Linked DNA regions of Drosophila melanogaster. The protein of the gene in region 4 purifies or fractionates together with the protein of the main gene of each other region. This does not show direct contact. Each region holds a gene or a part of one and is shown on either strand. Other genes may lie near its edges. The genes, in order: CG11777, CG18789, SdhA and CG1532.

The links.
Region 1: the proteins of CG1532 (region 4) and CG11777 purify together in Drosophila melanogaster (affinity purification with mass spectrometry, with the first as the bait; one large-scale study listed by BioGRID). This does not show direct contact.
Region 2: the proteins of CG1532 (region 4) and CG18789 purify together in Drosophila melanogaster (affinity purification with mass spectrometry, with the first as the bait; one large-scale study listed by BioGRID). This does not show direct contact.
Region 3: the proteins of CG1532 (region 4) and SdhA purify together in Drosophila melanogaster (affinity purification with mass spectrometry, with the first as the bait; one large-scale study listed by BioGRID). This does not show direct contact.

The regions. Positions count from the first base shown.
Region 1 is NT_033778.4:10,464,732-10,471,662, reverse strand, and holds CG11777 (uncharacterized protein), read right to left. Parts: upstream 3,048-6,931; 5' UTR 3,030-3,047; coding exon 3,027-3,029; intron 2,963-3,026; coding exon 2,726-2,962; intron 2,463-2,725; coding exon 2,217-2,462; 3' UTR 2,020-2,216; downstream 1-2,019. Other genes in the region: whd (withered), read left to right, coding at 1-45, 158-223, 914-1,295, 1,358-1,717, 1,778-1,900; Caf1-105 (chromatin assembly factor 1, p105 subunit), read left to right, coding at 3,218-3,807, 3,867-5,520.
Region 2 is NT_033779.5:11,991,866-11,999,326, forward strand, and holds CG18789 (uncharacterized protein), read right to left. Parts: upstream 3,568-7,461; 5' UTR 3,453-3,567; coding exon 3,376-3,452; intron 3,321-3,375; coding exon 2,201-3,320; 3' UTR 2,124-2,200; downstream 1-2,123. Other genes in the region: escl, read left to right, coding at 1-609; Ada1-2 (transcriptional adaptor 1-2), read left to right, coding at 1,128-1,927, 1,992-2,118; Qtzl (quetzalcoatl), read left to right, coding at 3,949-4,078, 4,137-4,378; Ada1-1 (transcriptional adaptor 1-1), read left to right, coding at 5,039-5,838, 5,903-6,029.
Region 3 is NT_033778.4:19,390,182-19,400,129, forward strand, and holds SdhA (succinate dehydrogenase, subunit A (flavoprotein)), read right to left. Parts: upstream 5,791-9,948; 5' UTR 5,684-5,790; exon of another isoform or gene 5,597-5,683; 5' UTR 5,563-5,596; coding exon 5,506-5,562; intron 4,263-5,505; coding exon 2,665-4,262; intron 2,609-2,664; coding exon 2,458-2,608; intron 2,398-2,457; coding exon 2,218-2,397; 3' UTR 1,682-2,217; downstream 1-1,681. Other genes in the region: CG11257 (uncharacterized protein), read left to right, coding at 1-1,309, 1,365-1,662; cer (crammer), read right to left, coding at 6,181-6,381, 6,443-6,481. UniProt on the Drosophila melanogaster protein: Flavoprotein (FP) subunit of succinate dehydrogenase (SDH) that is involved in complex II of the mitochondrial electron transport chain and is responsible for transferring electrons from succinate to ubiquinone (coenzyme Q).
Region 4 is NC_004354.4:21,023,927-21,031,842, forward strand, and holds CG1532 (uncharacterized protein), read right to left. Parts: upstream 4,436-7,916; 5' UTR 4,350-4,435; coding exon 4,254-4,349; intron 4,027-4,253; coding exon 3,977-4,026; intron 3,919-3,976; coding exon 3,812-3,918; intron 3,096-3,811; coding exon 2,482-3,095; 3' UTR 2,199-2,481; downstream 1-2,198. Other genes in the region: r-cup (ryder cup), read right to left, coding at 1-204, 474-772, 863-1,864; CG1529 (uncharacterized protein), read right to left, coding at 6,331-7,596, 7,661-7,916.

The DNA.
Region 1 (6,931 bases), on a different chromosome or scaffold from region 4:
TGTGGGCACCAATGGTCGCGTTGGCTTCAATGCCGAACACACCTGGTAAGTGGATTCCAATCGCTGCAGCCAATATCTTCCTCTCAGCATCCATAAAATTTCTACGATTTGCCATACTTAACTATCTGAACCGATTTGTAAAATTACAATCCAAAAGGTCCGACGCTGCCATCGCGTCACACATGTGGGAGAACCTGATCGTCGATGATCTTGTATCGGACGGGTAATGATTTTCGATTCCTATACCGCCTGCAATTTTTCGGTTTCGGTTGGCTGCGTTTAGTTATCATCACCTATCACCCATTGTCCCAATCAAAAATTATTATTATTTTTATTAACTCCGGTTGTGGCCTAACAATTTATTTACACCATCTACACTTTTTTTATAGGGCCGATGCACCGGTTTTGGGACACCTGTGGGAGTATATATTTGGTGATGATATTTATGGGTAAACACTTAACTACAATGCACACAAGCACAAAGCAAAGTTATTCAAGTCATTTTTGGGTTGAGTACGAGAGATCACTAGGCGCTAAAAGCTTTAATGATCTCGCCATACAGTAAATACTAGCATAACGAACTTGAAACATACAAAATCTAGTATGCGAATGCCAGACACGTTTTAAGGGATTATTAATTTATTACATGAGGAATAGTTTGATCAGTACGCAGCATATTTTATATAAGCTTATGTTGGCCATTTCAGTTGTTTTTCCTTACTTTCCTTACTGTCTTTATTTACTGTATTTACAAATTGTAATCAACCCAAAAGTAAACATTTAGTTTATTTTGTTTTCGTGACTAACAACAATTACACAAAATTAACAATACTTTGATTTACGTTGCTTGCCATAAATTTGCCCACAAACCGTCTCCCCACAATGCTAACCTATTCCCTTGGTAACCCTGTAGATATGACGAAACGGGTAATACAAAGGGCACCCCGGCGTTCCAGCCACCCACGCCCACTAGGCTCACTTGGGATCTTAAACCATGCCTGGCGCAGATCGAAGAGGCCACCATCGATGTGACGAAGCTTATCAACGAGGTCAATCTGCGCATCCTGGTGCACCAGGATTACGGCAAGGGCTTTATGAAGAAGTGCCGCATCTCACCAGATGCCTACATACAAATGGCCCTGCAGTTGGCCTACTACCGAGATGCCGGTCGCTTCTCGTTGACATATGAGGCTTCAATGACCCGTCTGTTCCGCGAAGGAAGAACTGAGACAGTGCGTCCGTGCACCATTGAGTCATCCGCCTGGGTCAAGGCCATGCAGAACCCAAATACAACCGTAAGATTTTACAATTTTATGTAATTAGATCAAAGGCTAATCCATATATCCATGCTGTACAGAACGATGAGCGTGTGAAGATGATGCAGGCTGCCTGCGATCGTCACCAGTTGGGCTACCAGGATGCCATGTGCGGTCGTGGCATCGACAGGCATCTGTTCTGCCTGTATGTGGTCTCCAAGTACCTGGAGGTGGATTCACCCTTCCTCAACGAGGTGCTCAGCGAACCCTGGCGCCTCTCTACTAGTCAGACTCCGCACGGCCAGACGCCCAAGATGGACCTGAAGAAGCATCCGAACTGCATCAGCGCTGGAGGCGGCTTTGGGCCCGTGGCCGATGATGGTTACGGTGTGTCGTACATTATTGCCGGAGAGAACCTGATATTCTTCCATATCTCAGCGAAGACTACGTGCCAGCAAACGGTAATGAGGAGCCCTGATTCATGGCATGGAGCACAGCTAATCGAATTGTTTTCTTTACAGGATGTGCACCGCTTCGCTCAGAACATATCGCAGGCTCTGTCAGACATTCGCAGCATGTTCGAGCAGCACATGAAGGACCATCCGAAGCCCGCCAAATCACTCACAAACGGCAAATCCACATAATCCCGTTTAGTCCATGTAGTCGAGATTCTTGTTAGCATTTGTTTTTACCCCCCTAGTTGGTCGTTTTAAACACATCTGATACATCCGTCTAGTTCGAAATGAAGTGCAAAAGTCGTCGTGAGAGTTATACATAAACAATGCAATTTTTTATAAACAATTGTGACTTGGCTGGTTTTAAGATTTAGTCTTTAGATACTTTTGCACAATATTTGATGTTTCTCAATCAATTAGTCTGTAATCGAAGAAATCGCGTAACCTTAAGTGCTATAAATATATTTCATTTTAAGCGTACGATTGGCCTTTGTCTCTATCTCTATCACGTCGCCAAAGGATTGGCATGTATAGTTACTCCATTGATCTTCTTGTCCACATGGGGACGATAGTTCTTGGGATTGACGGGCAGTTTCTCCAGTTCATCCAGGGCATCGAATCCATCGATCACACGGCCAAAGAGCGTGTACTTCAAGTCAAGATTTGGCTGGGCGGCATAGGTAATGAAGAACTGGCTGGCATTGGCGTTCGGTCCGTTGTTGGCCATGGAAACCATTCCTCGATCAGTGTGCTGAAGAATTAAGTGGTCAAGAATTAAAGGATTTCTTCTTGTATCTTGGGAATCTTTTAGACTGAAAAACGAACCCAACCACATGACATATTAAAATGTAAAATGATATGGATGTCAACATACATTTTGAGATTCATGTGCTGGTTACATTCTAAGATTAGATACAATATACCCTTTAAAGCCGGAATGCTGGGTATTAAAGCCAGCTGTCATGGCGCAACTGAATGAGGGTTTTTCTGGTAAAACCTAGGTAGCCGGCTCACCTTAATGGTCTCCTTGAATTCGTCGTCGAACTTCTGGCCCCAAATGGACTGTCCATTCTTTCCGGTGTTCGTAGGATCTCCAGTTTGGACAATAAATCCCTTGATGTTTCGGATGAAGACGCAGCCGCTGTAATAGTCGCTCGCACACAGGGCGAGGAAATTTTCGCAGGCCTTGGGGCAGGCATCGCAGAAGAGCTCTATTTTGAGGTCACCCACGTCGGTGTGCAGCGTTACAGACTGCAAACAACACAACAAAATCGGTTAAAACTGTAAGAAATCAGATATTCCAACTTTTGTTTACCATTTTAAAAGTGATTGTGCAGCCCTCGTTTCGATATGCAATCGGTCCATTAACGATAACAGAAATCGAAAACAGCACTATTTGGTATTCCCGTGACCGAAGGTCACACTTTTAGGCGCGAATTCTGCCGCATAAAGTGATTTTTCTCTTCGCACTTCAACTAATCAACAGCGGCACATTAAGTAAACAGGATGAAGTGCAAGATACCCGAGATTTCGTGGCACAACCGCGATCCTGTCCTGAGTGTGGATATACAGCAAAATGGCCTGGGGCTGCGTTCTCCGACGATATGCCGCCTAGCCTCTGGTGGTTCGGATGCCCATGTCCTCATTTGGTATGTTAACCGAAGTGATGACGCCGAGGGCGTGGATGTGGAGCTGGCCGCCGACCTGTCCCGGCATCAGCGTGCCGTCAACGCTGTCCGCTGGTCACCGAACGGAGAACTGCTGGCATCCGGCGATGACGAGAGTGTTGTCTTTATATGGAAACAGAAGGCCGACCACGAAGTTGTCAACATTGTGGACGCCGATGGCTGCAGTGAACAGGACAAGGAGGTCTGGTTGACTCTCAAGGTACTGCGCGGCCATCGCGAGGATATCTACGATCTCAGCTGGGCGCCGAACTCACAGTTTCTGGTCAGCGGATCCGTGGATAACACAGCGATGCTCTGGGATGTGCACAGTGGCAAATCACTGGCTATTCTAGATGACCACAAGGGCTATGTACAGGGCGTGGCATGGGATCCCTGCAATCAATACATCGCCACCATGAGCACCGATAGGTAAGCAGTACAGTCCAAAATGTTCGAACTTTAATCGAATGGAGTTAAATTTCTTTTAGACAAATGCGGATATTTGATGCCAATACCAAGCGAGTTCTGCACCGAGTCAGCAAATGTGTACTCCCAGTAAAAGAGGACCACGAGATGCACGGCAAGAGCATGCGATTGTACCAAGATGGAACCTTGCAGACCTTCTTTCGCCGCTTATGCTTCACACCCGATGGTAAGCTGCTGTTAACGCCGTCAGGAATTACCGACTACGATGGTGTTGTGAAACCCATAAACACCAGCTATGGGTTTAGTCGCCATGATTTGTCCAAACCCGCCTTTGTGCTGCCCTTTCCCAAGGAATATGCGGTGGCTGTTCGCTGCTCTCCGGTACTGTACCGTCTGCGACCGTACAATGCGGAGAAGAATCCTCCGATTATTTCGCTGCCGTACCGCATGATCTATGCTGTGGCCACAAAGAACGCTGTGTTTTTCTACGACACCCAGCAGCCGGTGCCGTTTGCCATTGTGTCCAACATTCACTATAGCAGGCTTACGGATTTGGCCTGGTCGAGCGACGGCACCGTCCTGATCGTGTCCAGCACCGATGGCTACTGCTCACTGATTACCTTCGAGCCAACCGAGCTGGGCGACTGCTATGAAGATATGGAAACAGTGCTGAGCGTTGTTCTAAAATCTTCAGAGAATGCAACGGTGTTGAAAAAGAAGAGGCAAAAGCTGCGCAAGGTATCGTTGGATGAACCACGGAAACCACTGCAGGAAAAATCGAAACCAAATACAATTAGAAGGGCGTCCGAAGCAGGTATCACAGAGGTAGGGGAACCCGAGTTGGATGCTGAAAACGATTCATCAACGCACAGTGTCAGTTCGAATAAAACGAACAGTCCCAAAACAAAAGCTAGCGAAGAGGAGAAACCCACTCCCATCGCCATCAGGCGTTCGCCCCGTAAAAATTCGACTGCACCCATGCCGATTGCTATACGCAGAGCTCCGCGTAAGCCCGAGGATAAGGGGAATAGCGAATCGAGCAAGCCCAAAGACGAAATGGAAGTTACTCACACAAAAACGACTCAAGTGCAGAAAACAGTGGCATCACCTGTCAAGCGCAAGGTGAGCACAGAGGCAGTGCCTCCAGCAGAGACATCACAGCCGGCACTTGCAGTGATTCCGGTGTTCGAGAAGGAGATCATCAGTTCTGATGATAAGTTCGAATCGCCTGAGAAGAAGTCCCGACCCGCAACACCAATTCAAGTGCGTCGCCAGCCACGAACTCCTGGCAGCTCCAGCCAATTTAATCTAACGCCGAAAAGCCAACCCGCCAAGCAAGCTACTCCCATTGCAGTGAGGAGAACTCCACGCGTACTCATCGAAATGCCGGTGAACTCGCCTGTGGTCCCAATGGAGGAGGCCATGGATGCCTGGCCCCTCGACGAGAGCATCACACCCCTGCCAGCGACAAAGAAGGATTCTCGAAAACCCTTGCCGGAGACTGTAAAGACCGAAACGAAACCAGCGGTAATAGAGGCCAGCGAGGCCACCTGCGAGCGAACTGAGGACATTCGTCTGGTCTACGAGGATACGCAAGAGGAAACGCCAAAAAATCCGACTGAATCGGGGCCATCCACGCCGAATAACAAGACGCCACGTCGCGTGTCCTTGCGAACCATATCCACGCCCAAATCAAAAAAGAAACTTTTAGAGTAGACAATGCAATAGATTAGACTTAACAGATTTATGTTCATAAGATTAAGATTTTTGGGATCTTTGGGGATACCCCATACAAAATTGTAAAAAATAGCCAAAATTCTTCCTAATATATTCCACAATAAAACGCAACACAAGGTTTAGAGGTAATTGTATTGCTTTGGCTTCGGGATCTTTAAAACGAAAATTGCAGTCAAAATGCAGTAGTAATTTGCAGTTTGTACAGTTTCAGTAGTTCCTATATCAACATACACGATTCTTCTACCTGTGACAAAAGTCATCTGATAAGTTATGTGACTGTACTGGTCAACTGTACCACGAAATCCTCAAATTAAAAATGCTTCAAGAGGGTTGTTCTACCTGGTCCCAAGTTAAGTTTCCATGAATTTGCACGGGGACGTATTTTTTGGAAGGACTTTGTGAAAAGACATTTATTACCAGACAGCTAAATATTTTCAAGCAAAATTGCGACGAAAACAGATTTTTTACTTTTCCGTGACTAATAAGTGGCACCAAATTTTTTAATTTTCCCCTTTACTTTTTCACCACTTTTCCTCCTGATTCTTAAAATTGTTTGAAAGTCGTGCCATGCAATCTGTCCTAGCGCGCTTCGTCACTACGTGGACTGCCGTCGCCAGTGATGTATTTTCGGACCCAGTAGATGGGTCTATCTTTTCATTCAGAAACAACAAACTTGCTTGGTTTTATTTATATTTATTTAAATTGTAGATGATCTCTAACGTTTTGAGTTTCTTTTACATACAAACATTTTGGTTTACTTCAGTTTTTTATATCATTATTTTTATGTTTTATATATTATTTTAAATTTTTAATTCAACGATTCAAATTCATTCATCATGTTCGAGCTTAGTTAGCTTCCGTGGCTCGCCTCAAACTCATTTTAAAAATTTTCCATGGGCCATTAGCTACACTTCATCCATGTGGTCATTAGAGAGAGGAAAGGAGCTCAAGAATTGAGGAGAATTATATTTCCACATACGTTAATATAGGTAAGTATATAAATAGTTAAACAAATCTGATCTGTTGCATGGGACAACCAAAGCATTTATAATTAGGCTACAAATTAGATTAGATACAATGTCTAAACTTTGTCTAACCTATACTCTTGGTTCCACTGGCCATCTCGTCTTTCCTCCAGCTCCTCTTAAAATCCCAAAGTTTGGTATTCGCCACTCACAAAAAATCGTGTGTCTGAATGTCCTTGGACATTTGATTCGAAGTAATTCACATTACCGTTGTTATAGCTCTTTATGGATTTCACTTATAAATGTTTTAACTGCTATTAAAGTAATTTTAGTAGTGGTGCGACTTGCGATTTTATGAGTTATGTGGGTGTGTGTGGAGCAAAGAGGTGTATGAGCTTTAGAAAAATATGAATTATGTTTGATTC
Region 2 (7,461 bases), on a different chromosome or scaffold from region 4:
TTGTCTGTGGACTTTGATTTGCGCGGTGATCGCATCATGTCCAGTGGAATGGATCACTCACTGAAGCTCTGGCGACTGGATAAGCCCGATATAAAAGAGGCCATCGAGCTGAGCTCTGGTTTTAGTCCCAACAAGAATACGGGTCCGTTTCCCACGATCAAGGAGCACTTTCCGGACTTCTCGACAAGGGATATACATCGAAATTATGTGGATTGCGTTCAGTGGTTCGGCGACTTTGTCTTTTCGAAATCCTGCGAGAACTCAATTGTTTGCTGGAAGCCGGGCAAACTTTCAGAATCGTGGCATGAGATTAAGCCACAGGAGTCGGCCACCACGGTGCTGCATCACTTTGACTACAAGATGTGCGAGATCTGGTTCGTACGCTTCGCCTTCAACGCCTGGCAAAAGATTCTGGCCTTGGGCAATCAACTGGGCACAACATTTGTCTGGGAATTGGACTGCAATGATCCCAATTTAACAAAGTGTAGCCAGCTGGTTCATCCCAAAAGCAACTCCACCATCCGACAGACTTCCTTCTCCAAAGACGGTTCCATTTTAGTTTGCGTGTGCGACGACAGCACCGTGTGGCGATGGGATCGCGTCAATTAGGATGAGTGTTTCTAGGCTAAAAGAATTTTCCTTATCCTTCTAAATCCGATACCATATTTATGTAACCATAGTTATTTTCAGTGTAATGTTTACCTTCAATATTAAGTATGTTATTATGCGTAGCATTTATATACAATACTCATTGTATTGACAATTTATGTTAAATTATGTTAAATTTTTTAACATTAACCAAGATATTTATTCTATTCTATTACTTTTTTAATGATCAAATAGCTTCGCAAATATTATCATCTTATGTTGTGTGAATGGCGTGGGCTCTATCTTTAATGTTTATATTTTAACTAACTAACTTGTACACAATAAAAACTGTGAACACTAAAGATTAAAACCAATATTTTTTTAAAGGGTTCTTCAAAAATAACGGTTTTTATCTCAAATGTATCTGGTATTTTCAGCCGTTCTTTGAACGGTCACTCGAATCAGCTGCATTCATTTGTTTATATAGCAATTCGCAAACAGTTGGATTTTCCTGTTTAGTTGTTATTCCCATTACTAAAATGCTTACCGACAGAGTTCTGGCCACCAAGGAGGCGCTAGTGGTGGCTCTGGGCGACAACTGGGAGCGTTACCGGGCCAACATGAAGAATTGGTTTCGGAGCCGTTGGACTAAGGAGGAATTCGATGCGGAGTCGCGGAAAATCCTAACACCTGACAAACTGCACCTGCACAATCAGTTCCTGCTCGCCCTGCTCAACAAGATCGACGCCTTTGCTCCCCTGGAGAATCCTCCGGCCGTCCAGACCAGCAGCAGTAGTGGCAACCGAAGCAAACGGCGCAAAAGAAGTTCCCGCACCTTCGCCGAACGCCTTAATTTTGAGCTCAGCGACGTCCTGGACTTTGTAGCCGAGGACAACATGCAAATCATTCGTCCGCCAACCACGATCGGTATTCCGTCGGACCAGCAACAGCAACAGCTTCAGTCGCAGCGGTACTGCGCGCAGGAACTTTTCCTGCCCGACGCGGGATTCATTATGGGACGATTTCTGATCGGTGCCTGGGAAATCGGACTTGTCTCCGTGGACGACAATGTCGCCGAGTACGTTGCCATGGCCGTGCAAGTTCTGCTCAAGGATCTACTATCGGCAATCATCAAGAAACGAAAGCACTACAAGACCAGCGGCGAGGGAAACTTTTACTACGATGTAGGTGCTCCGTTGCGTGATCCTTCGCTGCGCAACACCGTCACCCGGCAGAAGGTCGACGACACGCCGCTGGAACTGGACAAGGAACTGAATACGGCCAACTTTATGCGGCGACAGAACGACGATGTGACCTTCCTCTCCGCCTGCGAAGAAGTGTAAGCTCCTGAATAATAATGAGATTTTCATGTGAAACACAAACTTAGGTTTTGTTTCTTTCAGCCAACCCACCGAACGCACAGTAATCACCCTCAAGGACTGCCAACTGGCCTTACGGGATCGCAACCTGATAGGCTCGCATGCCGTCTACTCTATAAACATGGAACGACTCAATATGATGATGCATTAGCTTATAAGTTCTAATTATTTTATTATATCAGCTTCTGTAAAAATATATACATTATACGCTAGTGTACCATTAAGTGTTTGGTTCAGCAAAAATTCCGTGGAGGCGGTTTGAATGGCAAGGCACCTGGTAGAAATTGATCCGCCTTGAATGCTTCGATTTCCTGCTCGTTGAGATCCTCCATGCGACTGTAAACTGAGGACTGGATTTCGTTGGTCGGTTGAGCTTGCTGCTGCTGCTGCTGCATCATTTGCTGTTGCTGTTGCATTTGAAATTGTTGTTGCTGCTGCTGCATTTGTTGCTGTTGCATCTGCTGCTGCTGATGCATTTGTTGCTGTTGCATCTGTTGCTGCTGCTGCATCTGTTGCTGCTGCTGCATCTGTTGTTGATTAGGGAATGCAGATGCTGCTGCTTGAGCAAATAATCCGGAGGCAGCTGCCTGCTGCTGCTGTTGTAGTTGCTGAGAAGCCTGAGTAAACATTCCGCCCATATTTTGGCTTGCGGCTTGGCCAAAGATTCCCGTCGACTGTGGTTGCTGCTGCTGCTGTTGGAAACCACCGAAAGGATTAGGATTCACTGGCTGAGCTTGCACCTGAACCTGCGCCTGGGCGAAAATGTTGCCCCCTTGGAAAGCTTGTGCAGCAGGCTGCAGCTGTTGCTGCTGTGGCTGTCCAAAGACACTTTGTGCACCTGTTGCCGCAGCTCCTACACCAAAAATGCTATTCCTTGCATTGGCATTGCTAATCGTTCCGCCGAAAATGCTATTGGTGTTGCTGGCTTGGCTTGTGGCATTCCCAAATATATTTCCCGCACTCAGCGTGGGCTTTCCAAAAATGGATGCAGATGTATTGGCGGCAGCCGGAGCTGCTGCAGCGAAGGGATTACTGGACTGCTGAGGGGCAGCCGACACAGTGCCGCCCTCCGGCGTCTCGTGGATCTTGATCATCATTTCCAGGACCTGCGGCGACATCTGAAGCATGGTCTTCATCTTGTTGTTAGCCTCTAGGACCTCACGGTTAAACTGTTGGCTGAACTGTTCGAATTGGTTTTGTCGTTTGGCCTCGTAACACATGAACCGCACCTCCTCGAAGGATTGGTCCTGAATAAAGTTGGGGAAATTCGCTTTGTCCTTAAAGGGTCCGTAGGCGGACAAAGGCCACATCTTGCCATTGAGGCTGGATTCCATGTCGGCTTTGAGATATTGCCTAAAATAATTAAGTTATTAGTTCATCTGCATAGTTTTAATATCAATGTACTCACTTAACATCGAAATGCTCGTTGTTGCACTTTGCGCCATAGCGGCAGGAGCCTTGTTGAAAGAACCGGCAGACAACCATATTTAAATTTGATTTTAATTTTTGCCTATTTCCTATATTTATTATTTCAAAACTGCTTCAACTTTTGTACTTTTGTTTATAATTGTCTTACTTTGCGTATTGAGTATTCTTTGAGTATTTTATGGCTCACTGAGAAAAATATACCGTGCCTATGCGCGCAATTTCGTGAATTCGTAACTTAAGTTCGCTGAATGATTAAGATAATTTTGTAAGCAAACATATTTAAGATGAAAACTGGTTTTTGAAAATATAGTTCCTTGTAAATTATACATTAAGTGCGAATATATCTGAAAAATATTGGTTTCTTGCACAGATGCTATTCATTTTTCATATGTTCAAAGAAATTCAGAAACTTGCTTCTGCATAATCGAATCAGATAATTTTAAAGTGAATTCCGGAGTCCTTTGGTATATCTCGTGCCGCCGAATACGGTCCCACTGATTGTGAAATCCGTGATAACGAATTTTAACACCAGAATTTCTAGGATTCCATCAGAATGCAAAAAGTGCTGGGACGCATCCAGGCGCAGGTCCTCCGCTCCCGGGCGACGAATGCATTAGCCAATGTGGTTAGACACGAGGCCACCTCCTCCAGGACAGCGGCTAAACCAGCCGCCACATCCAAAGGTAAGCGGATCCTCCAAGATGCACAGTTACCGCTTACCAAAATCGTATTCGTTCGTAGAATTCCGGGAGAGACAGGTGCGATTCAACATAAAGAACGAACAGACCGAGGGTAGACCACTTTACCTGGATGCCCAGGCCACCACTCCAATGGACCCACGTGTATTGGACGCTATGCTCCCCTATCTGACCAATTTCTACGGAAATCTGGTTCGTACGCTTCGCCTTCAACGCCTGGCAAAAGATTCTGGCCTTGGGCAATCAACTGGGCACAACATTTGTCTGGGAATTGGACTGCAATGATCCCAATTTAACAAAGTGTAGCCAGCTGGTTCATCCCAAAAGCAACTCCACCATCCGACAGACTTCCTTCTCCAAAGACGGTTCCATTTTAGTTTGCGTGTGCGACGACAGCACCGTGTGGCGATGGGATCGCGTCAATTAGGATGAGTGTTTCTAGGCTAAAAGAATTTTCCTTATCCTTCTAAATCCGATACCATATTTATGTAACCATAGTTATTTTCAGTGTAATGTTTACCTTCAATATTAAGTATGTTCTTATGCGTAGCATTTATATACAATACTCATTGTATTGACAATTTATGTTAAATTATGTTAAATTTTTTAACATTAACCAAGATATTTATTCTATTCTATTACTTTTTTAATGATCAAATAGCTTCGCAAATATTATCATCTTATGTTGTGTGAATGGCGTGGGCTCTATCTTTAATGTTTATATTTTAACTAACTAACTTGTACACAATAAAAACTGTGAACACTAAAGATTAAAACCAATATTTTTTTAAAGGGTTCTTCAAAAATAACGGTTTTTATCTCAAATGTATCTGGTATTTTCAGCCGTTCTTTGAACGGTCACTCGAATCAGCTGCATTCATTTGTTTATATAGCAATTCGCAAACAGTTGGATTTTCCTGTTTAGTTGTTATTCCCAATACTAAAATGCTTACCGACAGAGTTCTGGCCACCAAGGAGGCGCTAGTGGTGGCTCTGGGCGACAACTGGGAGCGTTACCGGGCCAACATGAAGAATTGGTTTCGGAGCCGTTGGACTAAGGAGGAATTCGATGCGGAGTCGCGGAAAATCCTAACACCTGACAAACTGCACCTGCACAATCAGTTCCTGCTCGCCCTGCTCAACAAGATCGACGCCTTTGCTCCCCTGGAGAATCCTCCGGCCGTCCAGACCAGCAGCAGTAGTGGCAACCGAAGCAAACGGCGCAAAAGAAGTTGCCGCACCTTCGCCGAACGCCTTAATTTTGAGCTCAGCGACGTCCTGGACTTTGTAGCCGAGGACAACATGCAAATCATTCGTCCGCCAACCACGATCGGTATTCCGTCGGACCAGCAACAGCAACAGCTTCAGTCGCAGCGGTACTGCGCGCAGGAACTTTTCCTGCCCGACGCGGGATTCATTATGGGACGATTTCTGATCGGTGCCTGGGAAATCGGACTTGTCTCCGTGGACGACAATGTCGCCGAGTACGTTGCCATGGCCGTGCAAGTTCTGCTCAAGGATCTACTATCGGCAATCATCAAGAAACGAAAGCACTACAAGACCAGCGGCGAGGGAAACTTTTACTACGATGTAGGTGCTCCGTTGCGTGATCCTTCGCTGCGCAACACCGTCACCCGGCAGAAGGTCGACGACACGCCGCTGGAACTGGACAAGGAACTGAATACGGCCAACTTTATGCGGCGACAGAACGACGATGTGACCTTCCTCTCCGCCTGCGAAGAAGTGTAAGCTCCTGAATAATAATGAGATTTTCATGTGAAACACAAACTTAGGTTTTGTTTCTTTCAGCCAACCCACCGAACGCACAGTAATCACCCTCAAGGACTGCCAACTGGCCTTACGGGATCGCAACCTGATAGGCTCGCATGCCGTCTACTCCATAAACATGGAACGACTCAATATGATGATGCATTAGCTTATAAGTTCTAATTATTTTATTATATCAGCTTCTGTAAAAATATATACATTATACGCTAGTGTACCATTAAGTGTTTGGTTCAGCAAAGATTCCGTGGAGGCGGTTTGAATGGCAAGGCACCTGGTAGAAATTGATCCGCCTTGAATGCTTCGATTTCCTGCTCGTTGAGATCCTCCATGCGACTGTAAACTGAGGACTGGATTTCGTTGGTCGGTTGAGCTTGCTGCTGCTGCTGCTGCTGCATCATTTGCTGTTGCTGTTGCATTTGAAATTGTTGTTGCTGCTGCATTTGTTGCTATTGCATCTGCTGCTGCTGATGCATTTGTTGCTGTTGCATCTGTTGCTGCTGCTGCATCTGTTGCTGCTGCTGCATCTGTTGTTGATTAGGGAATGCAGATGCTGCTGCTTGAGCAAATAATCCGGAGGCAGCTGCCTGCTGCTGCTGTTGTAGTTGCTGAGAAGCCTGAGTAAACATTCCGCCCATATTTTGGCTTGCGGCTTGGCCAAAGATTCCCGTCGACTGCGGTTGCTGCTGCTGCTGTTGGAAACCACCGAAAGGATTAGGATTCACTGGCTGAGCTTGCACCTGAACCTGCGCCTGGGCGAAAATGTTGCCCCCTTGGAAAGCTTGTGCAGCAGGCTGCAGCTGTTGCTGCTGTGGCTGTCCAAAGACACTTTGTGCACCTGTTGCCGCAGCTCCTACACCAAAAATGCTATTCCTTGCATTGGCATTGCTAATCGTTCCGCCGAAAATGCTATTGGTGTTGCTGGCTTGGCTTGTGGCATTCCCAAATATATTTCCCGCACTCAGCGTGGGCTTTCCAAAAATGGATGCAGATGTATTGGCGGCAGCCGGAGCTGCTGCAGCGAAGGGATTACTGGACTGCTGAGGGGCAGCCGACACAGTGCCGCCCTCCGGCGTCTCGTGGATCTTGATCATCATTTCCAGGACCTGCGGCGACATCTGAAGCATGGTCTTCATCTTGTTGTTAGCCTCTAGGACCTCACGGTTAAACTGTTGGCTGAACTGTTCGAATTGGTTTTGTCGTTTGGCCTCGTAACACATGAACCGCACCTCCTCGAAGGATTGGTCCTGAATAAAGTTGGGGAAATTCGCTTTGTCCTTAAAGGGTCCGTAGGCGGACAAAGGCCACATCTTGCCATTGAGGCTGGATTCCATGTCGGCTTTGAGATATTGCCTAAAATAATTAAGTTATTAGTTCATCTGCATAGTTTTAATATCAATGTACTCACTTAACATCGAAATGCTCGTTGTTGCACTTTGCGCCATAGCGGCAGGAGCCTTGTTGAAAGAACCGGCAGACAACCATATTTAAATTTGATTTTAATTTTTGCCTATTTCCTATATTTATTATTTCAAAACTGCTTCAACTTTTGTACTTTTGTTTATAATTGTCTTACTTTGCGT
Region 3 (9,948 bases), on a different chromosome or scaffold from region 4:
TGTCCGATCCGTCCCTTAAACCACCCGCCAGTAACCAACCGCTGAGGCCACCCCAATTGATGGCTCCTGCGGGATCCGGCGGTGGCCTGCAGTTGCCCGTCACTGCGCCACAGAAGCTGAACTCCAATGGATCATCCGCTTCTGGATCGGCCACTGGTAATCCGCGCAACAAGTGCGCCCTAAAGCCGGGCTACTCCCTGATGAACTGGATACGGCTGTGCAATTCTGGAGCGGATCTATCGGGAACCGGAGGGCGTCTGGTGCCCGTGTCGCGAACGGAATTGGCCCGGCACAACAAGATCGACGACGCCTGGATGGCCATTCGTGGTCGTGTCTTCAATGTCACCCGCTACATGGACTTTCATCCGGGCGGAGTGGATGAGCTAATGCGTGGTGTTGGTCGCGATGCCACCAAATTGTTCGATGAGGTGCACGCGTGGGTGAACTATCCACAATTGTTGGGAAAGTGCTACGTGGGACCACTAAAAGATAATGAGACAAAACCTGCCAAGGAAAGTCCACAGATTACCAATGTGATATTGCAGCCTCCGGAAATAGTGCCACGCTTTGATTGGATTCAGCAGAGGAGCGAACTTACCCTGATCTTCTACACGCGCAGCCTGGCTAATCCAGGCCTGGTTGTCCGGCGGAAGGACCTCCAGCAACTGAGTGTGCGGGTTCTAGTCCAGCACAATTGGCACAGCTTTGATTTTCAACTGACCAACAATGTAGAATGGCCTCCAAAGTTAGCGAAAATCGGTTCGGAGACGGGGAAAATTGAGTTAGTTTTTGTCAAGGAGGAAGCGGAACCATGGCCAACGTATGGAACACATGTGTCCAACAGATTAGACTCTAGCCGATTACATGATGAAACTTTCGAGTATGAAGTAGTTCACAGCAAAGATTTCAATCACGACTCCTTTGAACTATGTCTGCAAAGTGTTGGGCAGAAGGTTCTGATGGTCCTGCCGGCTGGTTACCATGTGGATATAGAAGTCCCACTAGAGGGACGGGTAATTCAGCGCAGCTACACACCAGTGGATCACACCTATCTACGTTTGGAGAACATCAGATCATCCAGATCAGAATGCTTACACTTTCTGATCAAAAGGTATCCGAACGGACCCGTCTCCAGTCACCTGCAAAAGCTTGAAACTGGATCTCGCGTCCATTGGAGTGCGCCACGTGGATCCTTCCAGCTCTCTGATCTCACTGCACATAGAAATATTCTACTCCTAGCGGCGGGAAGCGGATTAACGCCAATTCTGAGCCTAATTCAGCCCATCTTGAAGAGAAATACAAACCGAATGTAAGTTCTTAAAAATCAGTCCCGAAAAAAACTTACTTATTTCCCACATTTACAGTGAAAGCTTACAATTATTGTACTTTAACAAAACCAATGAGGATATCTGGTTAAAGGAGAAACTCCATGAACTACACACCGACGACGAAAGATTCAGCTGCACAAATTATGTCTCCCAATCGGAGGATAATCCACAAAGAATAGCGCTGGAGCTGCTAGCCCCTTTGTTCCAGAAAAATCAACCGGAAAGATGTACTTATGTGCTCATTTGCGGACCAAGTGGATTCAATACCGCTGCCTTAGATATTTTGAGTCAACTGGATGTTAAGGCCAATCAAATTCACGTATTCCGCGGCTAAGTGAAGAAGTCATTTAGTTGCGCACTTAATCTTCATTACATTTATTTAATGTATAGCAAACGTTTCGACTTTTGTTCTTTTTTTATTGTTTTTACACGTTTTCGTTTTAATAATTTAATAAGTTTAACAAATACTAGAAAAGTGTAGTTGGATTTGTTTTCATTTGCTTCTAAACAGGCTGCGTAGTCAATATCGCCTCAGACCTAACTCGTTGTCTACTCACACACATTTTTCGCTTATGTAATAATGTAAATAACCGACAACCAAACAGTAACCAAATGGAGGGCAGCTTACAGTGAAACTAAGTAGAATCAGCGGAGTAGTAATAAGGATTTGAAAGATTTATAGGTGTATAGAAAATCTGGATTTACGTTTCATCACAAAATGCCCGGAACCGCTGCCGAGTTCCCAGTTACCAATTGGTAGCATATTGCGGCTCATTTGGCGATTTGACAAAATTTATTTACTGGCGCCCACAAAGACGTTTAAGTAGACATCCGTACGAGTGATGGTATGGGGTGTATATGCGGGTGTTCTGCAACTCCAAGTCTTGATTTAATAGGAGCGAATCGCTGGTGGAACAGTAGAGACTTCGTTGTCCAGCGTGGTATCGATCACGTTTCTGTAGTCCAGCGTAATGTCTCCGTTGTCATTGCACACCCACGAGAGCGTGTGCTTGCGCCAGTGCTGATCCATGGGCTTCTTCTGCTGACCATCCAGGGGCTTGCTGAAATCCTGCAATACATGTTGTTCCATGATAAGAAGTTCAGGGGCTGAGTGCCGACAGTAACTTACGTATTCATCCTCGCGAACCTTGAAGTCCTCGCGGGCGTGGGCACCTCGCGATTCCTTGCGCGCCTCAGCGCTCACAATAGTCATCTGGGCATTGGCCAACAGATTCTGCAGCTCCAGCGTCTCCACCAGATCGGAGTTCCAGATAAGCGACCTTTAAAGTCAAGGAATGTTAGAGGGAATCAAAAAAATACTTGTTTTTATATTCACCTATCGACAACCTTGATGTCCTTGAACTGCTTGTAGATCTCCTTCATCTTGTTCACACCGTCCTGCAGGATGGGGCCATCGCGGAACACAGCAGCATGATGCTGCATGGTCTTCTGCATCTTCAGACGCAGATCGGCGGTGGTGATCTGGCCGTTGGCATGGCGCAGCTTATCGAGGTTAGCAACAGAGGCCTCGCCAGCGTTTTCCTTGAGGGTGGGAGCCGGTGCACCAGGCTTATTCAGCTCGGCGATGGTCTTGGCGCATGCACGTCCGAAGACCACCAGATCCAGCAGAGAGTTGGCACCCAGACGGTTGGCACCATGCACCGAGCTGGAAGCAGCCTCACCAGCGGCATACAGTCCCGGCACAATCACATCCTTGCCATCCTTGTCAATGGTGATTACCTGGCCGCGATAGTTAGTCGGCACACCGCCCATGTTGTAATGCACGGTGGGCAACACGGGGATGGGCTCACGGGTCACATCAACACCGGCGAAGATCATGGCGGTCTCGGAGATGCCAGGCAGACGCTCCGCGAGCTGCTTGGGCGGCAAGTGGTGCAGTTGCAGGTACACGTGATCCTTCTCGGGTCCAGCGCCACGACCCTCCATGATCTCGATGGTCATCGACCGCGAGACGACGTCGCGAGAGGCCAGATCCTTGGCCACAGGAGCATAGCGCTCCATGAAGCGCTCACCATTACCGTTGATCAGGTAACCACCCTCACCGCGGCAGCCCTCGGTGATGAGACATCCGGCGCCGTAGATGCCAGTAGGATGGAACTGCACGAACTCCAGATCCTGAGAGGGCAGTCCCTGGCGTGCAACCATAGCAGTACCGTCACCGGTACATGTGTGCGCCGAGGTGCAGGAGAAGAATGCTCGTCCATATCCACCGGTGGCAATGACCGTGTTCTTAGCGCGGAATCGGTGCAGTGTGCCATCCTCCAGGTTCAGGGCCAGCACACCACGGCACTCGCCGTCCTCGAAGATCAGATCCAGGGCAAAGTACTCCACAAAGTAGTTGCAGTCGTAGCTCAGCGATTGACCGTATAGCGTGTGCAGCAGCGAGTGACCAGTACGATCAGCCACAGCACAGCAGCGATGGGCCTGTCCGCCCTTGCCGAACTTCAGACTCTGTCCACCGAAGGCGCGCTGGTAGATCTTACCGTCCTGGGTACGCGAGAAGGGCATGCCGTAGTTCTCCAGCTCAATGACAGCCTTGGGCGCCTCGCGGGTCATGTAGTGGATGGCATCCTGGTCGCCCAGCCAATCGGAGCCCTTGACCGTGTCGTACATGTGCCACTTCCAGTCGTCCTCCTCCATGTTGCCGAGAGCGGCATTGATACCGCCCTGGGCGGCGATCGTGTGCGAGCGGGTGGGGAAAAGCTTGGTGATCACCGCCGTGCGAAATCCCTCAGCCACCAGGCCAAAAGCCGCCCGCAAGCCGGCTCCTCCTGCTCCCACGACGATCGCATCGTAGGCGTGATCCACCACCGGGTACTGCTTCGATATCTTGTCCGGATTCGCCGCCGAGGCCTGCTGGCGGCCGTGTGTGATGTGGTAACTGCGCTGCACTCCAACGGCTGCGGCACGTTGCTGCAAGATATAAATTGGGATAAATAAATATCATATTGGATTGGATCATATTCCATGAAAAATAAGTCAAATATATCCCCAAAGCAATAAATATAGAAAATGGATCTATAGATTAAAATATTTTCAGAGTTGAAAGCCGGGGTTGTCAATAAAGCTATCAACTTATTGTTTGCTTTAGTCATTCAACGATAATTCACAATCGTTTGCGAAAAAAATTACGTAAACTCAGACTTAAAGATTACTGCCTGTGTTGTCATTTCTTAAAGGGAATGTTTTCTCAATATCTATTAATTAAATAGAAATTTTCAGTTTCACGAATACCCACATTATTTACGTATCTGAAATAGCTTAGTGTTATCTTATCAGAAAATTCCAAAAAATTAAGACCGGAAAGTGCACAAAACGTTGTTGCAACTAAACTTTCGGCCGTTAGTTAAATTTAAATGCAAAAAAAAGGTGTAGATACAAGTTGAGATAGTATCTTTTGGTGACGTCGGCAAGATAAGTTGATAAAAACAGAAAGAGCGACTTGCAGTGATAACTGCTTATGTAATAAACAAATGAAATAATTGAACTGGCATTTTTCGGCCGGGGTTTTTTGGTGGAAGGGGGCGGGGTAGATCAGCACGGCGATCAATTAGCTCCATTGTATAATCAGCTGTTAGTTCTGTGACGTGCCTCCATCTCTCTCTCTCTCTCGCTTGCTCTCTCCGCTTGCCAATCATTTGATTTACTATATACTACTATCCTCTCTTTTGTGAATCTTCCGATTAAGCGGTACTTATAAAGCTTTTCAAGGCGTGTCGTGCATCCAAAACCAAGTGTTTCAACTGCATTTTGTTGCACGAAATGCCCAAATGCACGATATCGTCGATGCAGGAGAGCATGGATGAAGGGGGCGGGGCGGCAGCATAACATAACCTCGCTGGTGCACACCTAGCTTTCCACTATAAAATCCGCAAAATTGCTGAACACTTGCTTGGAATGATATTCGCTATATGAAAATTAATATAATCTAGCAAAGGGAATAATTTAATGCACCTGTGTCCCACAATTTGCTCACAAATTACATAACACAAGTACGGGTGGCGCGTTTTTGGCCAATTCGTTGGTCTTTTTCTGTTGTCACATCACGAGCTGGCTGGCTGGGTTCTGTGTAGACCCGGTTGTATAACCACTCTTAAATCATTTCGTTTGCCACAGAGGAGCCTGGGTTTTCACTTCCAAAATGGGGACTACTTACCATGGAGGCGACTGCATTTTTGGCCAAAATCGATGGCACACGCATGATTCCGGACATGTTTGGCTGGGCTGTGAGGTTCTACTGCAAGATTCTGCAAGAGATTGGACCGAAAACGAGGTTTTACGCGCTTGTAAGATGGGGTGTTTGGTGTTGGTACAAAATAAAAACAAATAACTACGTGTATCGATGTGTCTATGTGATCGAAAAAGGAAAAGTTTACAAACTTTCAAATGTTGTGTGTGAACTGCCGCTCGTCGGCACTGCAGTTCGGTTCACTGACTCGCTCAATGAACGCTGAACCGGAACTAGTTCATCGCAGAAAGGCGTTAATCCGCTTTAAGTTCAAAATGTATATAGATACCGCGTACAAGCATACATATTTTTGGAATGGAATTTTACCATCTCAGCCGTACGTATTTATTTGCATATATCGTAGAGATAAATAAACCTTCGTTCATTGAACCAAAACCTAATGAACTGTTTTTCTCCCAGCCAAAGTGGCCAGAACACAAAAATCCCAAAATCTTTAAAATGTACAAAACAGCTGATTTATTGTTTATTTGGGGGTGGTTGAACGATAAAGATTTAAAAATTCAAATGCATATTTATAGAATTACAGAGAGATTAGTGTCTTTACAAAATGTCTATTTAAAATGAGATTCACTTGAGATTCTGTTAATTTGGCGGCACCTTTTTGCCACAACGCTGGGCAAATTCCTCAGGCGTGAGATCAGCCAAATGATTAATTCCCATTTTCCAAGTCACTTCGCCCTTCTCGAACTTCCGATTGTGTTCCTCAATCCGGGCTTTGGACTCGGCGTAGATTCTACGACGCATCAGATCCTCCTCTGCCTCGTAGTTCTTGTCGAACTTGGACTATGGTGGAATCAAGTGATTTCTAAATATTGCGTCGCTTGCTAGGACATATTGGGCCTACCTTGTACTCCACCCACTCCTCATCTGAAACCAGGGACATCTTGACACTTGTAATTTTGGTGACCGACTAAATTTCGTTTCAATTCTCAGGTTTTATCACGGTTTCGCACTGAGTCACAACATATAAACACAACAAAGAAACGATAATATATGCAGCTGATCAGAGATGCCACTTCGGTGAAAAACAAACATAAATAACAGTGGGCCCTCGTTTATGAAAACCGGATACTATTCAAATTCGATTTAAATCATATGCTAAATTCTCAAACATTATAAACATTTAATGCAAAACCATTGTTACATTTTTTGGAATGACTACTCAAAAAATAAATACAAATAAAAAAAACCTCTTTTCAAATACTTTTGAATTTTGTACAATTTTCAAGTTTTTATTTATTACGTGTTTACTTCTTCGTGTGTGTCGTGTTTTTTCTTGTGTATAATACGAATTTAAATATATATTTATATGCATTTTCTTACACTCTAAACAAATTTTATGAATAAACTTTCGGCTTCTCGTTTGCTTTTTTCAAAAGTTTTTTTATTATTTGCACAGAGTGAGAATATTGACATATTTCTAATGTTAATCTAAGGACAAAATTATACAGACTTTTTCGCCTTAATGACGCAAAAAAGTTGCTAGAAATAAGCTTCTGTCGTTGCGCAAATAATCAGTTTAATTATACTTTATATTTTGCCGTTTTTTTTTTTTGTTTGTTTGTTTGTCTAAGGCTCAGCAATGCAAGTATTATGTTGTAAAGAGAGTGTTTTCAATGTGGTGGTGGGTTTGGGTAGGAAAAGCAGAAACATTCGATTTATCTGGCATTAATCATCGGGGTTTTAATTTTATGTCAGTTAATTTGAAATGTAAATGCGTTTAAGTTGTGCCTTAAAGTTTTACATGCTATGGCAGTCGTATATAGTTAATTGCAGTATTCGTTATTCATCGATTTGAATATTATAAATGGAAAAGCGATTACAAATCAAGCACATCTACTTACAAAAGAAATGCTGAAATTTGATTCTTGGAGATAATTTTTGGAAAATTCCAACCATTCTCAGTGATTGTGTTGTTTCTGCTTTCCTCAGAGTAATCGCATGTTTTAATGCGGGCGTGGTGTATTTTTGGATTTTCGTTTTCTTCATAATTTATTGGTTTTTATAAATATATATATGTATATGTATGTATAAACAGTTTTACGTACATAAAAATATATAATTATTTATATAAAAAACTAATACAATTGCTGCATGTATACAATAATTATTTATTCGTTTTGTGTGCAAATTGTGGCTGCCCGGAATTTAAAAACAAAACAAAAGAACACAAAAACATAAAACGCGCTTTCACAAAACACACACATGCCTAGAATATCAAATTGTAGTTGTTGTCATCGAATTTATTGCATTTCTAAAAAAATATTGCATTTAAGTATTATGCATGTACCACGCTTGTACGTATGTGTCTAAAAACAAAAGTTTGCCTTTGTTTCAAACAAATCTTTGTTTGTCGTTAGAGTTGCCTGGGAATTTGTACCCTTTTTTATCTGTTCATTTGCTTTACCATGTCATCATGTAGTAAGGTGTGTTGCGTAGTTATTTTATAAGCTAATACATCTAGAAGATATTTGCAAGTTACTTGTTTAGGACAAAGCGGCGGTGTCGGATATTGCGTGTACACCTGCAAACCTCATTCTCGTTTATCATACAAATTGTTGTGTGAATTGCATTTATCTCTCTCTGTGTGTGTGTGTGTGTGGAGGGGAGGGTGTGTTGCCGTGGCCATCGTATAAATTAAAAATTAGAATTATATTATAATAGATATAAGCTGTGAATGCGAATTAAGGGAGGGTGAGGGGGATTTCCCCTTAGATGCATCTCGATCGATTTTAGCTGCTCATCCGTTGCTTGTTTAGGCCTCTCTCTTTTTTTTATATAATGCTTCTTTTGCTGATCTGGCTAAAGTTTCCATTTTCTCGTGGTATCATTGTCGTTATTTTTCTCGGTTCCCGCTGATGGTGGGAGGTTGGTCAAGATTGCTACTCCTACGGATCACGCTGATGGTCAGCTTAGGCCTCGGCCTTCTTCTTCTCCTTCTTCTTTTTCAAAAACGATGGTGTGCGCAGACCCTTCTTCTTCTTCTTGTCTTTCTTGGGGGATCCGTCCGTGGAGACATCCTGGAACCGTAATAGAAATTTGCAGTGAGAATATCGGTTGCGCTTCGGTTAGTAAATCAAATGAGGTTAGCTCAATGCATGATGATGTTGTTTAAAACTGGTTGTCTTGTCGATGTAGCAACTCTACTTGCTAATCGCTTACCACCCAGCTTACTGCTTGTGAGTGTTCGAGTTGAAGAAGAGATCCGTAGATCTTGGATCGCAGGATCAGTTCGGATGTACTTACCTCTTTACTGCTCTGCGAGAAGGTGCTCAAGTGTGCCTCCGAATGATCGCCATTTTGTACGTTTTCACCTGTTGCAAAAGGGTCGAAAATGTCGTTAGTAATTTGTATAGCAGTGTAATTTGGCATGGGTCTCCTACAAATGTAACTCAGTGGACGCACACAAAATATTTGATATTAATTTCGTAATTACTTTCACCATATGAGACACGCACGAATAATAATCTAACTAAAACATGTACATGTATTAAATGTTTTGATTGGTGTGGATGTATAAGTACATAGATGGAGTTTAGGATTCGCTATTCAAACACGAGGACATGCAGCAGGATCAGCAATATATGTTAAAAAGCAAGCAGACATGCAGTACAAAACACAAACATAAATAATAAATGAAATTATTTTACCTGGGCGCTGATTAAAGTTAACTGATTGAAATTAATGTTTCGTAAGTATGAACACTTAACCTAAAACTTTCTTAAAAACATTAAACATAATGAAAACTATATTTATTATATTTTAATTATAAAAATATGAAACGAAAATCAAGATTCGACAAAAATTAAACTTAACAATTTCACAGATGTTTAAATGTACAATGGTTGGCTCAGATTCAGTTTTAACTTTGCATTTTCATATTGTGCTTAAGTTACAGTCTTAACATTTAAATTAAGAGAACAAAGAAGTAAAAAATGCATTAGTTCGATTTGAAGATTTCCAAATTATCATCATTAAACTTAATCTAGTTGCTTTATACAATCATTTCACTGTTGTCGATTTTCAAATATCACAACAAAAGCGAAGATGTAAATTTTCCATCAAAATCATAATATGTATCTACGAGCTGACAATTCCATCGGCCAGCTGCGAGAAGCGAGCCCGGCACTCGTGTATGATGGCCTTGTTGTGCAGCATGTGGGCTGTCACCACGCTATTCAGCAGACGCTCCAGTTCCTTCTCCAAACTACTGAGTATATCATTCAACGGCTCACCCTCCGCTGGCAGTTGGGGAGAGGCTTGATCCTGTTTGGTCGACAAATCGCCCACGGCCACATAGCTATAGGTGTGGCACAGTTCTGGTGCCGAGTTGCTGCGGTGAACCATGGA
Region 4 (7,916 bases):
TTGGCCATCAGCATGGTGCTGAGAAACTCCCAGATCAGGCTATTGCATACCCTGGCCTCCTCGATGGCCTTCTGGGCGTAGGACAGGCTCTGCACAAAGTGGTTCTTCTGCATATGCCGATCGGCCAGCTCATGGAGCAAGTAGCTCCTTTCGATCGGCAGGCGGGCGAATAGAAGTCGTTTCTCCAGATACTCGATTTGGTTTCTGTTGGCGAATTAATCATGTTTAAAATAGGGTAATATTAAATTTCTTAAAATTAAATTGTATGTTGCGTTTAAGCACTCTTCACACTACTTATAGATCTTTAAGTAACTTTAACTTTAAGGAAATTTTAAAAAAATATGTATGCCATCAAATATAGATGGCGCTAGCTGATATTCTAGAAACATAAATACATACTTCAAATTATTATTGATATATCTATAATTTATCAATTGCGAGTTCGCTATGAGTTCGAAATAACTGAAACTCACTGGTCTGCCAATCGATCGGTGCTCTGTTTGTCGGCGCCGGCATAGGAGTAGGTGGATCGATCCCCGAAGATGAGCTCCGTGTGCTCCAGCGGCTTGGCCACCGGTATGTTGAGCAGCTGGCACATGGCGCTCTTGTCGTAGGGCGTGACCCGTGTGGGCGGCAGGCGGTATCCCTCGCACAAACTGAGGGCCAGATTGTTGTACACCTCGTTCATGAACTCCGCCTTCCAGGGCATCAGTCGATTCGTCTTGATGACCACGTAGCTGCCCATCACTTCCTCCACAAACTTGCGCAGGCGCTATAATTAATGTGGTTAGTTATTTTAAACTAGCTGGTTTCGCTTTTACCTGGCATAGGTGGAATATGTAACCCACCAGCCGTAGCTCACCTTGATATCATTCCGCCCCCGCAGCACCTTAATGGTCCGCAGGATGCTCACCATGTTTCGCCTGGTTTGGTACTGGATCCGGAACAAGTTCGCATCCCGCATGCGAGCCTCTATCTGGGGATTCCGATGGAAGTACTCCTTGTACATGGGTCTCCTTGCCTGGAGCATCCGTGTGAAGGTCTTAAGGCGCTGGAACGCATACTCAAGATACTTGGTGCGGTCCGCCGAGGAGCCGAAATGATTGTCTAGAAGACAGTTGGGATGCCGGCGAAGTGTTTTCAGAAAGAAAAAATCGGTCCAGCTGCGACCCAAATAGTTCTGATAAAATATTTTGGTCTTGCGACGCCTGCGCTCTCTTTCCAGTGGGGAGAGCATCACCTCCTTGCGATCGATCCTGCTCTGGACATCACACTCCTTTCGCTCCTTGAGGATTTTCCACAGCGGCCGCCTGTCGGCCCTTCGAAGCTCCTCCTGCTGATGGGCATAGAAGCCGGGCAGCTGCGCGGAATGCTCCATGAAGAAGTTGGCCAGGCTGAAGCCCGTGCAATCCTTGAGATTCTCATCGACTACCACGAGGCGATTCTCGAAGCTCTTTAGAGCGGTGCCCGCATGCCGACGGACATTGTCGTGCAGCAGGCTCTTGTTCTCCTCAAACCGATTCAAATCGTAGAGCGCATCTCCGAGCTCCATGGACACATTTGCGTCCCACGCCTGCCTTACCTCCATGGCCCTCAAGCTATCCTCCAATGCGTCCTGCGTCAGGGCCACCGATCTCTTGAATTTGCTGCGCAGATAAAGAGCCTTGTGATCCGTGCTCTCATTCTCTGTGATGCATTTGTCGAAGTACTTCTGGGCAAAGGTGTTCTTCCGCATCCGCGCAAAGTACTGGCCCCAACTGCGGTAGATCCAACGCTGCTGCTCCGTCGGCCAGTCGAACGTTTCCCAAGACTTCAGATTTGCCACCAAAAGGCCTGCCGGCGCCGATTGACTCGAGTCCTTCATTCTGCACCAACGTCTCCTTGTCGCTCAAGTAAAAAAAAAATAAAAATAAATTCAGGAAACACCCTAAAAAAATAAATGCTACAAAAAACGAAATCGAAACCAATTTGTCTCTTCTAAAACTGAAATGAAAATGAAAGGAAAATCCCGAGCACGTTGTTAGGATCATAAAAATAATACTTAAGTACGCAATACTTAATAAAATATATGTGTTCCAAATCAAGAATACATATACTTGAAATCCTTTTCGCTAGTAAGGACCAATTAAGCGGATTTATGACCATCTGTTTGTTTAGTCGAATTAAAAACCACAATAGCTGATATCAGGATGTCTTTTCACCTCGTTTAAAGGTGTTTTTGATTGATTCAATACTAGAAAAGCTAAAATACTTCTTATAACAAAGAAAAATAAGTCCCATACGCACGCTTAATTTTATCGACAGTTTATGTAATAAAATATATGTATGTTGTAAAACAAGAACGAGCGTAGGTGATGTTTTACAATGTTTTAAAAAGTATAATATCTCCGTTGAAAACAGCCATTAACCATTAGACAATACAAAATCCAAATACAAAAGGTGCTGTGTACAAATAACAGTGCTCAAGGATTGCTGGGAAAGTCATTTCGGTTGGAAGGGATCCTTTTCGATGTTTCGATCCAGTCGCTTATCGCCATCGGACTCCACCTGAGATAGCTGGCCGAAGCCCTCCTCGTCGACAAAGCAGATCTCATGACCATCGGGGTCACCGAGAATTACCACCGTAACGGTGGCCTTTCCTGGCGTATCCAGGGTAATCAGAGGTGTTAGAATGGCCCCGCCAGCTGCTTTAACCGCTTCTTGGAGAGGTGGCTGCTGGGCCGCCGGAATGGCAAAGGCGATTCGTCCATAGGCCTTAGCTCTATTAATTGGCTCTGAGATCTGGGTGATCTCCAGTGAAGCCTGCTGTTCACCGTAACTCAAACGCACGCTTGCTTCGTTCTCCTCGAGAACTTTCAGTTGCAGCAAATCGTGCCAGTATTTGCGCGAGTTTTGAAGATTGCTCACATTAAGCTCCACCGATTGGACAGGATCAGAGCTGGCAGAGGCCTGATCGATCACATAGAACTTGTAGCCATCGGGCGAGGTCAGCAGACTACCGGCTTTTCCAGACACCTGTGTCACAGGATACGAGTGCTCGGCGGCGCGGGAAAGGATATCCTTGGAGTGTATGGTCACGCCCCCAAAATCATTGCCTGAATCGAAAAGAATAAGTATCGATTAACAGGATTTATAAGTGTTAAAATTAACTTGGGAATTAATACAAAGGGAATCATTAAGTAGTATATTTCAATTACTGTACTGTACTTTTTCAAACATCTTCAAACATTCAACTCACATACTTTCGTTTTTAGTTCATTTTGTGATAGACAGAAATCTTCATCGCGGTTTTAACTAGAATGACTGATAGATTTCGACCTACTTATAGATAACTATTTCCGTATTCATAAAGAAAAAGATTAATAACCTACTATCTTTACGTACTTAAGACAAGTCACTTATCGAATAGCTATTATTAGTGAAACACTTAATTATGAAGTTGTCGAAGATAGAATAACTCATTTGTACTTTAAGATAAGCCATCCCAATTTTACTAGTGTTAGATTAAATATTTTGGATTATAACTCGGTAATCATTTATAGGGTTGTACATTTTTTCAAATTTCCAGAAATGTGTACATATGACTGCTCAAAGCTTAAATATGCGATTTAGCCTACCATCACTGAAGTTTCAAACTTTTTCAACTCTCAATTCTTATTAAAAACGCTTTAATGCCTGATAAAATAAATAGGTATTTTAGGATGATATTACTTAGCCGCTGTAAGGGTTAAAACGTTCCCGCTTGTTAGCTTGCACTCAGGACTTTTAATCCTCATGTGAGCCTAACATTTTTATCCGGTATGTGTCTTACCCATTTCGTAGCTGCTCACTCCATAGTTATACGTGAGTTCGATGACGAAATGCGAACTTTCGGGTCCATAACCCACCATTGTTTTGCTCCACCGATTGTCATAGGGCCTGTGAAGGATTAACACTACCAGTTAGTCCTGTCGCAACACTCCGAAATAGCACTCACCCGTTGCAAGCTGCGTCGCATCCCTCCTTGAACTCCTCATGCCGCAGCACCTGTTGCCGTGCGAACGAGCGGGATGGCGATAGAAGGGAGCAAAAACGATGAGAGAAAAATGAAATTTTAACACAGTCATTATATGACATTATCGGGCATCTGGGCTTTTTAATTAGCAGCCGCGCGTCGTTGACACGTTGTCCAGATAAAACTACAGCCAGACACAACAGCCTGCGATAAGGAAGTCTGCCGATTTCTGGCGATACGCCCGCCACACCCAGCTTACCGTCATTCCCAAGATTTGCCGAAAGAAGAAGGCGTTTTTCGCCCGATCTCCGATTTTGAACACATAGTGCAGGGCGCGTCCCGATATGGCCGACATCTTTGTGTTTATCAGCTGGCGTTTATTCAGCAAGTGCTTTCCGATCGAATTTCGGCCTTGTTTATGTACATTCCGTTTCAGTGTGGCCGTGCGCAGAACAGCAAATATTCCCAGCGACGGGAGCTTTTGGAAGTATCGATATTTTTTAGTTTAGACTAAATAATAATAAATTTAAATACACTGTAAGTTTTAAATTATAAAGTGCGCTTTTTGCTGATTGACATCTACGAGGAAAAAACTAATGACTATCGCACCTTCAAAAAACGAATATCGGAATTTACCTTTTGTGACACAAAATTTTACACTTGACAAATACACTTTAAAAAAAGAGTATATCCAAAATGTTGTCACAAAAGTCCTTCCATGAAAAGCAATTATCGTCAACAGTTTTATTAGGCACTTAAAATATGGAGTAAGCGAGCATATAAAACGTATAAAATACGAAGTAAGCGAACATATAAAACTATTTAATACATTGTAGTAGCAAGGATAAAATGTCGTGAAAGTAAGATATTTAAAAATTTTCGCTAATGCGTCCTAGCCACATTTGCATGATAGTTCATTGGATATACACTACGCGTCATCAGATTAGCGCCCCCTGCATGGCTCCGTTCATTTTTATTTTCTGGTTTTGCCATTGCACGAAAATTCATCAATGTTGTTGTTTTTTGTTCACTGACATTCCCTCTCTCCTTGAGGATAAAAAAAAGGTCCTAAGGTAAGGACAACAAAATTTGTTATGCTGTTGAATTGAAAAGTTTGCTTTAAGAGGAACCCTGTTATCCCTGCAGGAAATATACAATATCATAGCATTCTATTAATGCTCATAATCATAAAATTTCAGAAAACCCGCCAGATGTCGCAACCCTATAATAAACTTTATTCAAAAGAACGAAACTTATGGAAAAAAAAAATAATGGTGGCAATAACCTTGTCTTTACCGCGGCAGATCGCAGGTCCATACTTCGAATACCTCCCAATTCCCACGACTTCTCCGCCAAAATTCGAGAAAAAGTGTTGAAAACCAGATCAAATCTTTGATTCAAATGGTGATTAAGACAGCTAAACATAAAACACGAAAAACTGAAAATAAAACCACCTCTCAATAAGTTGCGAAAAAAAGCGGGTCTGAGTTTTGCTCGAGCTCATTTGACTTGGTCTAAGGAGTGGCGTCGTATTTTCGGACAAGAAGAAATTTAATCTGGAGAAACCAGACGGCTTTTTTCATTACTATTATGATTTGCGTACATTTTGGATCGCTGTCACAGTCGGGTTATAGGTAAATTGCAGTTTTAAACACCAAAAATGAACGCAAAAGATTATAATTCAAAACTGCATTTCCCTACTTTAGAAACGTTTTTGGAAATTTAGAATGACATTTTCAAATTGACAGTGTCTCAATCCACACTGCACGTTTGGCAAAAACATGGATTCCATACTACTACCACCATACTACTACTATATAATAGATAACGTGTGGGTATGGTTGGCTAGGAAGGTATACGAGGGTGGTAAACAATATGCCACTCAAAACGAATCGTTCACCGGAATAAAACTCGATTGGTCTGCGATTACTTTGGATTACCTACAAAAAAAATATATGATTCCCTTTCCAGACGAATGTGTGAAGTCCATAATTTCCTTTAAAAATATTCTAATTTAAATATTTAAGTGTTAATCATCCCAATTTCTTTCGAAATGAATCGAACCAACTTAAATTATCTTAGGGGGCGTTATCCTGATAACCCAATTTTAATTAACCCATTTATGGATTTTTTTTTTACTTAAATAAAAATCTATAAACAAGAAACTGCATCCTATATAAATTTTACATTTATAGAATTGTTCAACGTTTGAATGAAAAGCAATTTTCAAAACTCTAGCTTTAACAGTTTTCTAAATATCTCAAATCAAAGATTTTTGCTCAAGGGGCGCTAACCTGATGTATGTAACCGGACGTATATGGATAGGTTATAGTTGATCATAAGGCTTTCGAAGGGATAGGTTTGTAGTCATGGAAATGCCCTTCCAGTCGCGCCGAGTCTTGCGATTCTGCGTCCTGCTCTATTTTGTGCTGCCATTCCGGATCGAGTGCATCTTCCTGCTCTAGCTTGCACTGACTTGCCTCCAGCGGATCCGGTTCCGGATCGTAGGACTCTTGACCTTGTTGACACTCATTTGGCCGCTGGCTTGTCTGCATGGTCACCTCATTTCGGTGGCTTTCCCTGGAGAGATCTCTCTGCCGTAGCTTTTCCCCCTTGCGGAGCTGATCCTGTTGAGCTTCCCGAGCGCCCTGCTCCTGATCGCGGTCGTGCTCCTGCTCCTGCTCCTGACTCTCCCGACTGTGCTCCCTTCGTTTTCTGTGCGTCTTTCTCGCGCGGTGCCTTCGTAGGTGCAACTCAAGGGTTTGTCGCGAAACGCAAGGCTTCTGGCAGTGAATACAGGCAAAGGGCCATTCCTCGGCTGCCTCTCCCGAGCCCGTGGATTCCGTGTGCAGCCGCTCGTGCCGCACCTGCGAGGCATGCGTGCCAAACTTTTTCTCGCAATGACCGCACTGGAACCGCCGCTGACCCTCGTGGACCACCCGAACATGCCGGCTAATGGCGCTCTTGTGGCGAAAGAGCTGCGGACACTGCTCGCACTTGAAGCGCTCCCAGGTGGGATTGTGGGTGCGCAGGTGGGTCAGTAGCTCCGTTCGGGTCACCTTGGCCACTCCACAGTGCTCGCACACGTGCTCCTTGCGCTGGGCATGACGCTTTAAATGCTCGCCCAAGGCATTCTTTGTGCTGTACTGCCGGTTGCACAGCTCGCAGATTAGGTCGCGCAGCTCCTGCTGCAGTTGCTCCAGCTGTGGATGGGCGTTGCGCATGTGGGAGCGCAGCTGCTCATATCGAGTGAAGGACTTGTCGCAGCTGCGGCACAAGAAGGGTTTCGAGTAGCCCTGATGGACGCTGCGGATGTGGGCCTCCAAGTACGGTAGCTTGTACACCTGCTTGCCGCACTGATCGCAGGCCAAGCCAGCGCGTCGTTTACTACCAGTGCCTTGGCTAAGCTGTTGCTGGCTGTTCTCGTACTCATCTGGATACTCCTCATCCTCCCGGTCGTCAAGAATCTTCTTCTGATCCTCCTGCTTCTTCGACAGATCTACCTGCTGCCCATCCGCCTGCTTTTCATGCTCTTCCTCCAGTTCATGCTCATTTTCCTCATGGTTTTCCTTGAGTCCTTCGTCCGGCGGCTCCTCCTTCACCTAGGAAAGAACTAAGAAAGTATTAATCCAGGTTTAACAAGCCGAAAAGGACATATATATCCACCCTGTCGACCGCGATGTCCACTGGCTGCCATCCGATAAGCTTCTGGCTGGATTCCCTTGCCACTTGGCGCAGCTCGTCAAAGTAGACCACCGCGTTGTGGCACAGGTTGCAGATCTCAGTGGGAAATCCATGCGGCTGCTTCAATATGTCGATGTCCAGCAACTTTTGCAGAATCGCGATGAGTCGCGGATCGGGACAGTGGGTGTCGCGGTCGCGCAGATGACGCAGGCAAATCCTGCACAGGCGCGCGAGGTCC